Oreochromis niloticus: one gene and its partner. The protein of the gene in region 1 purifies or fractionates together with the protein of each later gene. This does not show direct contact. Links are inferred from orthologs where the notes say so. Each region holds a gene or a part of one and is shown in the gene's direction. Other genes may lie near its edges.

The links.
Region 2: the proteins of rcc1 (region 1) and ranbp1 purify together in Homo sapiens (affinity purification with mass spectrometry; 3 studies listed by BioGRID and IntAct, counting the BioPlex papers as one, with this or other methods). This does not show direct contact. The link is inferred for Oreochromis niloticus from reciprocal best matches to the Homo sapiens genes RCC1 and RANBP1.

What each region holds. Positions count from the first base shown.
Region 1 is NC_031976.2:7,339,826-7,347,075, forward strand, and holds the start of rcc1 (regulator of chromosome condensation), read left to right. Parts: upstream 1-4,186; 5' UTR 4,187-4,324; intron 4,325-5,531; 5' UTR 5,532-5,549; coding exon 5,550-5,628; intron 5,629-5,936; coding exon 5,937-6,124; intron 6,125-6,236; coding exon 6,237-6,416; intron 6,417-6,818; coding exon 6,819-6,915; intron 6,916-7,015; coding exon 7,016-7,138; intron 7,139-7,250. Other genes in the region: phactr4b (phosphatase and actin regulator 4B), read left to right, coding at 1-72, 1,051-1,066. UniProt on the Homo sapiens protein: Guanine-nucleotide releasing factor that promotes the exchange of Ran-bound GDP by GTP, and thereby plays an important role in RAN-mediated functions in nuclear import and mitosis.
Region 2 is NC_031977.2:9,595,515-9,603,580, reverse strand, and holds the start of ranbp1 (ran-specific GTPase-activating protein), read left to right. Parts: upstream 1-5,024; 5' UTR 5,025-5,174; coding exon 5,175-5,189; intron 5,190-5,273; exon of another isoform or gene 5,274-5,591; intron 5,592-6,550; coding exon 6,551-6,684; intron 6,685-6,766; coding exon 6,767-6,924; intron 6,925-7,568; coding exon 7,569-7,697; intron 7,698-7,792; coding exon 7,793-7,861; intron 7,862-8,066. Other genes in the region: trmt2a (tRNA (uracil-5-)-methyltransferase homolog A), read right to left, coding at 9-125, 264-339, 457-579, 1,105-1,216, 1,332-1,447, 1,533-1,647, 1,900-2,081, 2,308-2,416 and 1 more. UniProt on the Homo sapiens protein: Plays a role in RAN-dependent nucleocytoplasmic transport. Alleviates the TNPO1-dependent inhibition of RAN GTPase activity and mediates the dissociation of RAN from proteins involved in transport into the nucleus.

The sequences.
Region 1 (7,250 bases):
CATCCGGAAGGAGCTCAATGATTATAAGAGCACTGAAATGGAGGTTCATGAAGAGAGCAGAATTTACACAAGGTATACCTTTTAGTTGAAACTTGACTGGCTGATTGATTGACTTGGTCAAAACAGTGAGGTACTGTGTTTTGCTGATTTGTTTTTCTACACCACTCTTCATGTTGGTGGGGTATGGAGTCTATCTCAGCTGTCATAGGCCGAGAAACTGGGTACACTCTGGACAGCTCATGAGTCCATCGCAGAGCTAAAGGAGAGACAGATGAACCACTCACACTCACTTTCACATCTACGGCCAATTTAGAATCACCCATTGAGCTCACATGCATGACCTCCCAAAACCTGGGACTGTGGGAGGAAGACGGGTACCTGGAGCACAGGGAAGCCATGCAAACGTCACACAGTTTTGTTTTTGTTGTTATTTATTTCTCCTGTTTGTGTCAGGGAAACAATGAAATATGTAATACACACTTGAGAGTGATGCATCTTTGAACACTTTCTGCCATTTGCAGCCAACCTTGGCGCTCATCCTGAAGACATCTCCCCCCAGCAGCAGGTTTTAGCTAAAGGAGTTTGTTAGCTTGCTACTGTGTCAAGTGTTTATTTCATACTCCCTCAATCATTAAGGACTTACTGTTTAACAGTCTTCAGGATGTCACTTATTTTAGTCTGTAGACGTCGGCTGCCTTGGCTACACATGCACTGTGTGTCTTGTGTTTGCTTTACACTTAAAGCCATCTTTGTTGCTTGCACCTAAACACTTTAAATATGAATTAGCAGCAGTGGTGATTTGCTACTACATTAATAGACTTGTGACAAGTAAACAGAGAGATCCATGTAGAAACTGATTGATTGGTCAGCTTTCTTATGCATGCCTGGTTAAATGGCAGAATCCAGCACTAACAATGAAACCTTGGCAGAAGAAGACTTTTAGAGAAAAATCTGTACCTTAAATAGCGATATAATGAATTTCCCTGCATTAATAGCTTAAGGATTACGAAGGTGTGATCTTGCCTCATGAGAGCTGTTTGTTTTCTTTAGGTTCCATCGGCCTTAACATCCCTGCTTCCGGATAAAGAAGCACTTAAGATCTCCGGCAAAGAAGCAGCTGCTCCCTATGCAGACAGATCGCCCTTTTGCGTCTCTTGAATGTACTGTTATCAGGGAAAGCCTGGAACCGACTCCACACGAGAATGCTTCATGCTTGTCCTCCATCGCCCTCTCACTACATTGCTTTCACTGAACCGAGGTGTTGGTGGGTGGAGACCAGATGCAGTATTTCTCCCAGACGGCAAGGGGGAACCACGTGCCAATAAAGTGGAGAAGTGGCAAAGGACCTACAGGGCTTACTCTCACTCTGCTGTTGTGTGGTGCCCCTCAGGGACTCGGATATAGTTACAACCTTTAATGCGGCCTCGTCCTGTGTTGCCTTTTTCTTTTTCTTCTTTACTGTATATGGAAAAGCTAACTCATCTTCGCTAATGTAATAACGTAGAATAAAAATGGTAACAATAATGATGACCTATAACACTTCACACAGTAATAATAGACACAAACGGTCAGGAGTTGGCTGAAGACTGGGATATTCTGTTTTAGAGCTGGACATCTCTGGGATATCGTGTGTTTTTTATCCACTCTACAGACTGCTGCTGTGATACGTTAGAGTGAAACTGGAAGAGATCTCATTGCAAAATATTGTGTGATGCACAAAATATTTTCTATTACAATTTTGATCACAAGGGTAGTGAGAGCTTTTCTTTGAGCCTTCTTTTTTATTATTATTATTATTATTATTTGGCTTGCCTGTGTTTGTGGTTGTGATGTGTCGGCCTTTTAATAGCTATAGGAAAAGGTCAGGAGGCTGTTGGTGTTTTAATGCGTGCCAACACACCCAATACTGGTTTTCATATCACTGATTTCTGCAATCCACTGCATGAGCCATTACAAAATCCAGTGCCACCGCGTCTGGATAATCTCTCTTCATTTATACTTTTTTCTTTTGTAAGTTTTTGTACTTCCCTTTAAAGATTGAACATGCAATACATTCTGTAGCCATTTTAAATAAGGTCGTTACGATAGTGTCTAAACTAAGAGTTAAATGTAAGTTGCTTCAAGTGTAGATCAGGGATTTATCACAAAAAAGAGAAAAAAAAACACCTGAAAATGTATAATCGGTCAACAGGAACTCAGTTTGGCTGGAACTTTTTGAAACTGCAGAAATGTTTTACCTTGTCTTGTTGTCTGGCCAGTAGCTTACAGGGTTCTCAGTGCTGTGTGTATAAGTTGATATAGGTTTATCTGATGCTTCTGTATATCTTGTCTTCCTTTGATTTGAAAAGAAATTTTAAATATAAAAGTATTATAGGTTGCTATTTTTTTAAGCAGAACATGAGTTTATGATTAAATGCTACAAGAATGGGAATATGAAAGTGCACCTTTCTGTAAATCTGAGTTCATTTTTAATTGAATGTGGAGCTGTATGAGCTGACAGTCTTCTTTTTAATTGTAAATAGTCTGGATCTAATTAAAAATCTTACAATTCCTGGAACCTTCTTGTGAAACAACTCTGCAACTGAGGTCCAGTAGACCTCTCTTACCTAATGACTGTGTTCAGGTGGAGTCTTTTGTCTAAGCTGGAACGTCTAAAGAAAAAGTGGGTTTGCAGCAACACCTGGTGGCGGTTTAAGTTTTTGCACTGTCTTTTGATTTTAAAAAATTAGCTGGTTTAAGGCCCTTTAGTGTAAATTAGAATATATTTTAGGTAATAGGTTATATGTTAGATTATTGGAAAAGGTGACACCATAGGGTGGGGGTGTCATCATTTCCTAATGATAAAATCTCCCATATGGGAGTAATTAAGCCATAGATAATAATCAATAATCAAAAGCTCCTGCTTTTTCATATGGACTATAGAAATTTATTTTTACAATGGGCCCACAGTAAAAATAAGTCAATAATTATAATAGTGAAAAAATAATCTTCTGTGAATTACCAACATCTTTCAATTGTGTAATTACTGAAAAGTCTGGACAGTGAGCTGCAAGAACCTTTTCTGTAATTTTAATTGTTTATTTATTTGTGCTAATAGATTTCTTTCATTTACTACAGCAGTATGTCTTCATCGTGTACAAAAAACCGAGAGGTATAGTTGAAATTGCACTTTTTCATATTAAATGTGTAGCTAAAGGTCTTCACACTGAGAAAATTGAGAGTTTTGCTAGTTTGGCCCACTTAAGTTCAAAGTGAGCTGTATGTGGCTCACTGTGTAAAGTGAGTTTGACATCCTTGCTTTAGGGTGAGGAAGTGGCTATGTTGTAGCATCAGCTAAAGAAAGAAAGAAAAGACTGAAGGTAAAATATGTTCACAGATCTTTAAGGTCTGGGTTGGACAAAAGGAAATCTAGTTACAAAATATACAGATAAGGGACAACCTAAAAAAAGGTTTGTAGGTTACTGATAAATTCTTATCTCTTAATGTCAATTAGAGACATAAAAGCGATACAAGATGGATAAAGGTGAAAATCAAAAGATGCCCACCTCCCCTGTCTTAATATCAGCTGGTCAGCGTTTTTTTTACATTACATACAGCTTCCGTAATTAGTGAATTGTACAAGATAACAGAACTATTAAATATATAAGGTAAAGGTTTTATATTACACATTCAACTTTAGATGAAAATACCACTACTTTTACATTGTTGTAGGGGTTGGTTTTTTTTGTTTTTTGTTTTTTTTGTTAACAATAACTCTGTTACACTGCCCTATTACAGCTATTGACGTGTACCTTTACTTAAATTCTGCACTTTTTGAAGTACTTGAGGTACTGAGGGTGAGATGGAGCCAGATGATCTGCTGTGGCGACCCCTAAAGGAAACAGCCAAAACAAGAAGAAGGAGGAGTAGAAAATACTCTCATATCTTTGGTTATAATAAAAACTGAGTGTTTCACCAGACGTTATTACTTTTACATATATAACTGATCTGTAGCCAGTTTCATTCACCACAGTTACCTGTTCCAGTGCTGTTACTCGGTTCTGAGAAAGGTGATAGGAGTACTTTCTCCAGCACCAAGTATTACTTCATTTACGCAGATAAATGGCTTCGCCTGATGCCCTTTATACTAGATAGATAGATATACATATATACACTTATACACGTGAACCTCTGTCTGTGTCCATCAGCTCCATCCTCCTGTGTTACTGTCTCTTTAAGGAGGCGGGCGTTCCAAAGGTCCTACAGAACGTAACGTTGCACGTCTCGAGACCGGGAACCAGGCTGTGCACGTTCACTTCAAACTGCACTCTTCAATATTTCACAGGTCAGTAAATTATCACCTCCTACACTTTACAGATGGATTAAACAAGTATCGAGAAATACTGCTCCGCTGAATCGCACGCAGTTACATTGTTAAATTATGTTTCTCGGTTTCATTCATTCAATGTCACGCTAACACCCCAGCTAGCATTGGCTAGCATTGGCTAGCAAACAGTTAGCCGGCGTTAGGTTAGGCTGAAAAGCTTTACTTTCAGTGCCGGCCAACTAACTTTGGTTAAGCTGTAACAGCTTATATTTTCTTTCTTGCTTTCTCGCTGCGTTCGTTGCTCGTTGTGACACAAATATTTACAGTCAATCTTTACACCATATACAACTCGTTCAACAGCCAAGTTAACTGAATGTTAGCAAGGGCACATGGGCACTGCCAGCGTTAGATCACGCAGCTTAATTTAAACTGTCCAGCCCTGTAAAGGAGCTGATGGCACTATCCAAGTACTTCCTTATGAAATCCCAGCGTCTGTCGTACGATCTATAGTGGGGACTAAAAGCTGAAACTGACTCTCATTTCAAACTGTACCACGTGTCCTTATTTTGTGGGCAGTGGTCTCTTGTCAGCATGAGAAGCAGGAGTGAAGGAAGCACAGCTGTTTGTGGGGTGAAAGAACCATTGAAATTGGGCTCCGACAGCTGTTGAACCCTAAGAACTGGTGGGCAGACTTATAACAACAATAAAGGCTTTTTGTGTATTATGTCGGTTTGCTGGCTAGTCTGTAGTGCTGTCTAAGAGCCACTGTGGTCTGGACTCTGGTTTGGGGGTGATTGTCGTCTATAAACGCTTTTGTATTTAGAGAGATCATACTAGTGTAGCCTGGTTTTCTCCAGGTTACACTAGTGTTTTGTTATTGTGGTCCACGTTGCTTTTCTGTCTGCAATTAAAATACTCATCATGAGTATCAGTAAGTAATATATATAGAGAGAGATGTATACTTTACTCATCCCCAGGGTAGACATGCAAATAACTTGTAGGTTAAATGTCAGCTGTTCATGTACTTAATTATCTGCCTTGTGTTGTAAATTTGAGACATTTGTGGTATCTAATAACTATCCTGTTTAGCTTTTTTGTTTCTTAATTTTGTGTGGTGTAAGAATTCTAGCATAGTTTAAATTACTTTGTTGTATTGTTTAACTCACATTATCCAGTTAGTTAAGAAACGCACCCAATTTACACACAACCTTATGTTTTCTTAAAGTCCAAAAGTGTTGCTATCATGCCTGCCAAAAAGACGACCACCAAGAGAAAGTCCGCCGCTATTGTGGAAGATGATAAAGACTCCAAAAAGGTGAAAGGTAAGTCACTTCCTTTTTCAAAACAGGGGTTTATAGAGGGGTAACCAGATTCAGTTTGAACAACTGATAGTCCAGCTAAAAAGTGGCATTGCATTTAAACATCTACACCACTTCTATTTGAGTTTGCTGAAGTAATATATTTCTGTTAAGCAAGTATTATGCACATATGTGAAACGAAGGCTTTGGCTCCAAGTGTATCACACTACATTGTCAGTGTTTTTATCCCCCCCCCAATCATTTTCTTGTATTTTCCATCAAACCAATAAAATTCAATGGTCACTATGAAATTGGTTGTATATGTGTTTCAGTTTCACACAGAAGTCATTCCAAAGAGGCAGGGCAAGTTCTTGTTTTGGGCCAAGGTGATGTTGGACAGTTGGGTTTAGGCGAAGATGTCATTGAAAGGAAGAAGCCAGCACTTCTGTCCCTGCCAGAGAAAATTGTGCAGGTGACAGCTGGAGGCATGCACACCGTGTGCCTCAGCGAAACTGGAAATGTAAGCAAACATTTTTCTTATTTCTCACTTTAAAAAAATGTAATGGCAACCTCTTTGTAGTGTTTAACAAAGAGCTTCTTAGTTCCTCATGTAAACTGTTTTCTTTGTTTAGATTTACACGTTTGGCTGTAATGACGAAGGGGCTCTTGGTCGGGACACATCAGAGGAGGGGTCTGAGATGATCCCGGGAAAGGTGACGCTGAATGAGAAGGTGGTCCAGGTATCGGCAGGGGACAGCCACACAGCCGCACTCACAGAGGATGGATCGGTGTACATCTGGGGCTCCTTCAGGGTTAGTGAACTGCTAGTTAGGGAGCAATCTGGTCCTGAGTGCTGTCTCAGCAACTATTTTTATCACCCTTCCATTACTTTCTATGTAATTGTTTTTGTTCTTTGTTACATTTACTATGTCTACAAAAGTTTCAAATCATTTTGCCTTCAACACTATATTATTATCCAAAACCTAAATGTTGTTCCTAAACATTTATTAATGCTGTAAAACAAATTTATAAAAACTATTTTAGTATATTGTAGTATGTATGCAGTGGAATCAGAAAGCATTTAAATTTGATTAATAAAATCATAATCTTCTTGTAATTCTACACAATGTAGGGAAAAGACTTTGAAATTGCAACTGCTTACTTAATGTTTTGACTGTCTAAAATAATGTCTACATATTACCCTCTTTTCTTAGGATAATAATGGAGTCATTGGTCTTCTGGAGCCGATGAAAACGTGTGCTCTACCTGTTAAAGTCCCTTTAACAGAACACGTTGTTAAAATAGTTTCAGGTAAAAAAGAAAAAGTTTTTGTTTAGTGCTTTATGTTACTGTGTGCGCACTATAAATGAGTTCCTAACAGGGATATTTGTGTAACTGATTTCTTTACTAGGTAACGATCACATGGTAATGGTGACGCTGGAAGGAAATCTATACACGTCCGGCTCAGCTGAGCAGGGGCAGCTGGGAAGAGTGCCTGAACACTTTTCAAACAGAGGAGGCAGGAAAGGCCTTGGTAAGTAGCACACACCTTTTCTGTTTTTGGTGGATAAAAAACTGTAGATTTATGTTAATATCTGATTACATAAACATTTCTTTTTTATAGTGTCTTTAATGTAGTATACATC
Region 2 (8,066 bases), on another chromosome or scaffold:
GCACTCACGTAGGCCTGCTCGTGGTGGATCTACGACAGCAGTCACACTGGGTGAAACGACAGCATTGAGGATGTTGGGGAACACATCCTCAGCTTTTCCACAGTGAAACTCAACATTACTTAGACCTTAAAACACAAAAAAGAAAGTGAGGGATGCAGCACGCATACAATTACTAAAGTTTATCACATCAATACCATAACTTATGCACTTTACTCAAACTAAATGCTACAAAAAATAAAAGCGATGATGTTCACGACGCCTACCATTCAGCTTTGCATTAACTTTGGCGTCCTCCACTGCTTCCTGGCACATCTCAATCCCAATCACCTTTTTCACCCTCTAGAGATAAGAGTGGGAAAAAAGGCAACATGACACCTGGTAAGCGTGCATTTGTCCTGCTTCTTGACTAATGAGAAAATGCGCACAACACTTACACATTGACACAAAAAACATTACCTTAGCCAAAGATATGCCAATGGTTCCTGTCCCGCAGCACACATCCAGTAGTATGCTGTCCTGATCCAGCTTGGCTAATTCCCCCACAGCAGAGTACAGCACCTCTGCAGCTCCTGTATTCACCTAGCACACAGACACAGAATGTTAATGGAGGCTAACCCCCTGATGTTAAAACTGGCAAACACAACTGGGACCATCAATGAAGTTGGTCATTGCTGCCTTGGCAATAACCAACCAAGGACACACCATACCCAAGTGTCCTAGCCACCGATTAATAAGATGAATGTATTAAATTCAGTCACTCTAGGCTTGTAGGATACTTTTGAGTTAACCCCTGTATTTCGAGATGTTTCCACATTTTAGGAATGCCTGCAAAAAAGTAAAGCATGGTGGAGTACAGCAATCTACTGCTGTTTGTTAGGCTCTGTGATGAGCCTTAGAAGAGACTAGCTGCTTGTTCACAGCACAGAGAAGTACCGTTTCACCCCATCTGCAGAAGGATAACATGGTGAGATCAGAACTTCAGAAAAGAATTACCATGCCTGCCATAACATGTGTTCACTGATCCTCAGAAAGAAATCCTGAAATATTCTAGTTGCAAACCAGACTTAATAACTTCCACAACATGCAGCTTCTGCTCTTCCTCACCTGGAAGAATGAATGAGGAGAAATCCTGAATTTTAAACCCAGCATTTCTTCTTGAATGCAGCTCTCTCCAGCCACCAGCTCACAGGGCAGATCCTCTGGATTTGGAGATTTCCTTTACAGGCAAAAAGAAAATAAAAGGAGTTACGTAAATAGAGTATTATTGAGATGACATTCAGTCATTAAATTCATACAGATTATGACTTATTGAGCATATAGTTTAGTTTTACCTTTGGCCCTCTCTAACAAAGTACAGCGAGGTCACACCGCTGTCTTTCCCCTCTCCTTCTGTGAAGTACTCCTTCATGGAGTTCTTTAAAGCACCAAGTTCCTCTTCTTCAAGTTTCTAAGAGTCATTAAACAAATAAAGCAAATCAAAAGGGGGAACTTTAAAAGCATGGGGCACGAGTTCAGTTTCAACATTTCATTACCTGTGGGTTGAAGAACACCATGGCCATGGCATGTTTGGTCCTCGTAGTACGTACAGTCAGCTGCTTCCAGTGTCCTTCATATGTCTCTGGGCTGTACACAGAGTATGGAGTTGTCCTGTTTGCAAACAATCACAGCAAGACTGAGCAATTAGTTGCTTTTAGAAACAAAATCATTCGGACAACTTGCTTTCAGTTTTTTTTTTGCTAGCATGTGACTAATTTGTATGATATTTCTCAAATAACATCACACGTACATTATGAATTTGATCATCTTCTTGTTTTGTTTAGGTTCAACTACTTTTTCCAAGCAGCTTTAGTTCCCCAAACTAAATTGTTCCTAGATTCTCATGAGCACACATAATAATACCTGATGAACTTTTGAAACTCGCTGACCACCTTCTTAGCCTCCGGCGGCACGTGGCACGTGTCAGCCGGCCCCACCACAGCACAGGAGCCTCCTTTGTATTTCCCCAGGCGGAAACCGATGGTTTTATCCTCGCCATCTGCACCCACCGATATGAGGAACTCACACTTGTTTCTGTACTCTGTCTGCCATGATCAGAAACAGGGTCAGAAGGATGAGTATTAAATTATATACAATATTTAGAGACATGAAAACAGCTGAGAGCTTGTGAAACAGAATAAACTTATCTATGCCATTTTTCATCTCTAATTAGTCACTTTTTATCTTGTGTGTTTTTTTGTTTGTTTTTTTTAAACTGTTGCATCACCACCTGCCTTTATGGACAAATAAAGGTGACTAGTTGAAGTATACCTGTATAGGAGACGGTCGGAGGGCTTCCAGAGGACAACACATGTTGTTGTATTTCCCTTTCTGTGCAAACAGCCACGGCACCATGGCTTTGTTGGTGCTGCCGATCTCTCTGAAACATCAAGGTTTAAGTTGTAATGACATGTAAGGAAGTCCCATAAAAAAAAAGCACAATATTACCTATAAAATCACACAAAATCTGTATTATATTACACTTACTTGGCCAGCTTCTGCAGAACCGCCACCACCTCCTGCTCCTTCCTCTTCAGCTGCTCGTCATAAGGCACGTTCCACAGAGGTGTCACAACGTTGGCTATCTGGACACTGAGCGGCTCCTCTTCCTCGTCCCCCTCATCTGTTCGTTTGCATGGGGGCGGGCCTCCCGCGCTCTCCCCCTCATTCTCCTTCCTCTTCCTCAAGATGGGGTCTGCCTTGGGTTTGGCCAGCTTGACACTTAGCACCTGGCCCTTCCACTGCATGCCGTGCACCATCTTCATGGCCTTGTCGCGCTCCTCTTCGTTCTTGAAGGTGACAAAAGCAAACGTCTGCCTGCCAAACAGCTTTATTTTGTGTGGGTTGAGGCCGTGCTTGGCCAAGAACTTCTTCAGGTCATTGAAGCCTACGAACCTGGGCAGATTCCTGATCTCCACTTTGTATATCTCCGATGTGAACAGGTCCTCTTTTATGTAGCGGTACACGCCGGGGTCAGAAGCTGCCTGGCTTTCTCCTTCAGCCTGAACATCAGGCTTGGCAGCATCAGTTTTGGCGAGGTCATCAGGCTTCTCCTCCAGGGAGAGGGATGGCGGAGTGATGCCCACTGGGCTGCTAGTGATATCTGCCATCACTTTGCTGATTCCTAAAACACCAAACAATAGGTAGGCCTATCAGGACCTTGCATTCACGGTGTTAAAACGTGAAAAAAAAGTACCATAAAGATTACCAAAGACTAGATGTTGCTGGTAACTTTTAACACAGTGGTACTATTTCAAACGCGCACGCTCTACTCTCAAGACTGGTTTAGGGTATTGTGTAACTTTCAAATAACTGCTACAATTAACGTGTCACGGTGAATATGTAAAACAATGCGTTTATCCTACATAGCAGTACATGCATTCACTGCTTTTCAGTAATTAAGTTTTGGTTATACGGCAAACTGAAAGACTTGATGCTAGCTCGAGCAGGAAGTTACATTCTTCGCAGCTTCAAAGGAACCACGTTGGCATTTTAACGGAACACTTTGCGTGCGTGCTGTTTTTCACTAGCGGTAACATTTCACGAGAGCTCCTTACCTTCCCGTGCCTGTATTTACTTTCTGCTCCACTTCTACCTAGCAGGCGCCGCCATGTTGATTCAAGCACGTGCAGCTTGAACTATGAACTTTGTTAAAGTGACAGGCATCCCACCGGCTTTCAGTTTGTGTACTTTGGTCACTTGGACAGAATTTCTGTTAATTAATTTCATTTCATTTCTGTTTTGTGTTTTATAATTACGGCACAGTCTGGGCAATGGAGTATCAGAACTTTTGCTGTCATTTTACACGTTTATTTCATACAATTTAAACTCAAAGAATCGCGTTAACAGATTTCTTCTTTACTACAGCATTTACTTAGAATTTATAAAAACGGAGAAATGGTTTTGAAATGACTTTTTTCCTTTTATTGCGATATCTCGGGGACTAAATGTGTAGTTAAACTTCTTCACATTTACATTAAGCCCAGTTAAGATCAAAGTGGGCTGTATGTATGGTATAGTCTTTACACAGTTTAAACACATGTATGGAATATTGCCATAGTCCCACTTTTTTCCAGTATGCTATATAGCATACTGGAAAAAGTGTGTTGATTCAGAACAATTATGTGCCAATTAAGAATCGTGTGTGATTTTTTTTCAGATTGTCTTAAAACCAGACTTCACTATGAAAATAATGTCATTCATTGGTTTCATTAGAAATTTTTTTTTTTACCACTCATAACTCTGTTTTCATGCTTTCATTGAGGGAAATGTGTATTTTAAAGAGTCTGTTAATATTTAGATAGGATACATTTGGCTTCATTCACCAGCAAGTTTTCTACTACTTTTCAGCTTTATGCCACTAATATCTCACAATCTCTCCTTTGTTCTGTTGTCCTTTTGTTGTAATGTAATGTCTCCATTACATATTGTTGTTTAGTTCACTTGTTTAAAAAAGAAAGAAAGATGGTTGAGCCTTTAAGTATTTCAGCACTATTTTCTGCTTTGGATGATTGACTGCAGGTATTTAAGCTCATTTATCTTCACTACCTCTTCTCCTTGCAACTTCACTGTTATCCCCGTCTCTCTCTCCTTCACACACGTATTCTGTCTTGCACACTGAAGCCATGATTGATAAATGGTAAATGGACTAGTACTTTTTGTAGCACTTTTCTATGGCTGTCAAGCAGACCACCAGATGTCACAGTCTGGATAAAAGTCACTTCAAGTTGTACAAGTATTTCATTTTACATAATAAAGGTACTACAACTGGTATGCAGAAGTTATTGATCCTGTAGAAAACATGTTAATATATCCTATCGAAAAGTGAAGTGACAATTATTGAAACCGAAGTTTTTTTGGTTTGTTTGTTTATTGGTTATTCTGTTTTTCTTTCGATAAAAGTGGTTACGTTTTTCTATTGAAAATAATATCTCAGGAAAAACATTTTTGTGAAAACGGCTGTCCCTGAGAAGAGAGAGGCGGTGCGCGTGCTGTGACAGCGTGAGCGCGGACATGCGTAGAGAATTCGGCGCGCGAAAGCTGTAGCAGGAAGTGAGAGAAGCTGAAGGGAAACGGCGGCCAGTTTGGGATTTGAATCTCTCAAACTACTCTCATAATCTACAAACATCTACAATAATATGGCAGACCCAAAGGTGAGGTCTATCGTTCTAGGTCATGTAATGCTTTATGATTGCTAGGAAATAACAATTTTGTGACAAACATTGTTTTTCATGTGTCATAATTTGTCAAAGTTTCGAAAGGAAGCCGTGTGCAAGAAATGCCGACAATCATCTTGTCTTTGGTGATGCTATGATCCACTAATTGATATTTTTTTAGTGATGTAAAAGGTAACGGAACGCCAATGGACTTATGAAAATGCACAGTGTAACCGTTGTAAAATTTTCCACTCTTAACACTTCCGTTACAGTTCACGAGCTCAGTAATTCAAAGTGTCCAGCCAGCAAACGTGTTAACATTAGCTTCATACTGTGAACATTAGCATAGGGAGGTGATGTGCGAAAGAACATTAGTGCTTCTACCAGACGATCACAACGGTCAGTTTTTTAAACGGGGTATTTTTCAGTTAGTATACTTCTCACTAGCTCAGGGCAACGAGGTTAGCTAGGTTGCTTGCCTTTGTCTGCCAAGCACAATACTTGCTAACATTAGTTAGCTAGTGTTAGCGCTATAGCAGGGCGCTGTTTACTGTCTGTTAGCAATGACGGTGTTACATTGAATAGACTGGCCGAAAATCACACAAGTTAATGAAAAAATACGGCGGTTGTGCTGAGCAAAATGCACAGAGGTGCAAGAAAAGAGAAAGTCCGATTGGTAGCTCCGGGCTAGCCGGCTAGTGAAAGGCCTGTGTTTCTAGCTAGGCAAGTTCACAACGAGTTGTCTTAGGAAAAAATAAAGTTGGATAAGTATTTGATGACAATAATAAAGTAAAAGCTACAACTTTAGCAAAGTTTTACAGTATGCGTCTAAATATCCAACACAGTGACAGCATTAATTGAAATATGGTGGTACTGATTTTTATTTAATAATGTCAGTCATGTTAATGTTAGGATACCTGTATTAGAAAAGACTTAAGCGATATATTGGGTTAGTGCTAACTTGCTATGCGGGTAGCCAGTGTACTTGCAAACAAAGCTAGCAGCAGGTAAGAATAAAGTGTCCCTTTAATAATTAGTTAATTGATGCTTATAATAGCTCAGGTCGATTTTATCACTTAAGTCTGGTTGACCAATGGTTTTAATAGTTAGCATCTTTATTCTCTTTAACTTTTTAATATTAAATACGTTTGTTGTCTATCAGTTTTGTATTTGAGAGCCTTTGGATAAGTGGAAGAAAATGATGGATCTTTAACACTGAACTCTATTAACACTAGTGAAGAATTCATCCTCTGTGGCTCATTTGTTAGAATTCAAATGTTGAATTTAAAGAATGACATTAAAACCATGTAGTTTCTTGGGGGGGGAATTGAGTTAATTTAATGTGCTTTTCCTCTTAGGACCAGGAAGACCACGATACCACTGCAGATGGTGCAGAAGACTCTAATCATGATCCCCACTTTGAGCCCATCGTGTCTCTTCCTGAGCAGGATGTGAAAACATTAGAGGAGGATGAGGAGGAGCTGTTTAAAATGCAAGTTGCTTACCATGTGAACACATTAACTGAGATACATTGATCAGTTTCGAAATACTGAGGTGTTCTGCTGTTTTCATAGGCGGGCCAAACTATATCGTTTTGCCTCTGAAAACGACCCGCCAGAGTGGAAGGAGAGAGGAACTGGAGACGTCAAGCTGCTGAAACACAAAGAGAAGGGCACAATCCGCCTCCTGATGAGGAGAGATCGAACTTTAAAGATCTGTGCCAACCATCACAGTGAGTCAAATTGAGAAATCTGATTTCATTGCTGTTCATGTCATGACAACAATTGGCCATATGTAACCTAAACAATATTTCTGAGTGGTGGTACAGGTAGAGTGGTGTGAAGATGTGTTATTTAAATCCTGGGTGTGCTCACTGACTGGTGTGTCCAAGGATTTTTTTTCTTGGTTTTATTGCAAACATTTTCTGATGTACATGTAAATACAAAAAGACCACAGGCCCCATGTGATCCCCCCGTCCCCCTTCCCCACAATGGTTAAATGAGTGAAATCCCTGGTATTAGTGGCAACAACAGAACTATAGATGAGGAAACGAGAGGTTGAGGTGTGGGTGTTGGAGGTACTGGGGCTTGTAATCTCATCCGGTTGTGATACAATCCAGACTGTGATTTTTTTTTTATTTATTTATTTATTTTTTTTTATTTATTTATTTTGTGTGTGTGTGTGTTTGACTTGAGATACATGAGTGTTTTACTCTTCCATTCACTCCTGAGGGGAGATAAAGAAATGGTGCACCTGTGTGTCTAATTCCCTATGAAACTACTAGATGGGGAGGGGGCAAACTACTAGATTTTTAAAACAAATCCCTTTTAGTGACTGTGGTCATACCTGCACTTAATGTGTTCTTGTTAACCACAGTTTTACCAATGATGGAGCTGAAGCCCAATGCTGGCAGTGACAGAGCATGGGTGTGGAACACACTAGCTGATTATGCAGATGAATGCCCCAAACCCGAACTTCTGGCAATCCGCTTTTTAAATGCTGAAAGTAAGTATTTAGGTACCCACTTCAACATTACACATCAATTCTCCCAGAGCTTTTTAACTTGGATTTTAAATTGTTACATTATGTTCTGTTTACAGATGCTCAGAAGTTCAAGGTGAAGTTTGATGAGTGCAAGGAGGAAGTCAGAAAACATCTAGAGCAAACGGGTACATGAAGCCTAAACTTTTAGGGTTTTTTTTTCTCTAGATAATTAAATATGTGAATTTTCTGAGAAGCAAGTGAAGTAAAACAGTTTTCTCAACATAAAATAGTCCATAATGTAGATCACATGAACATTAGATAGGAATTGTCAGTAATTTTACTTGGAAACATGTGAGTAGCAAATACTTTCAGAAGCCTGAATGCAACATT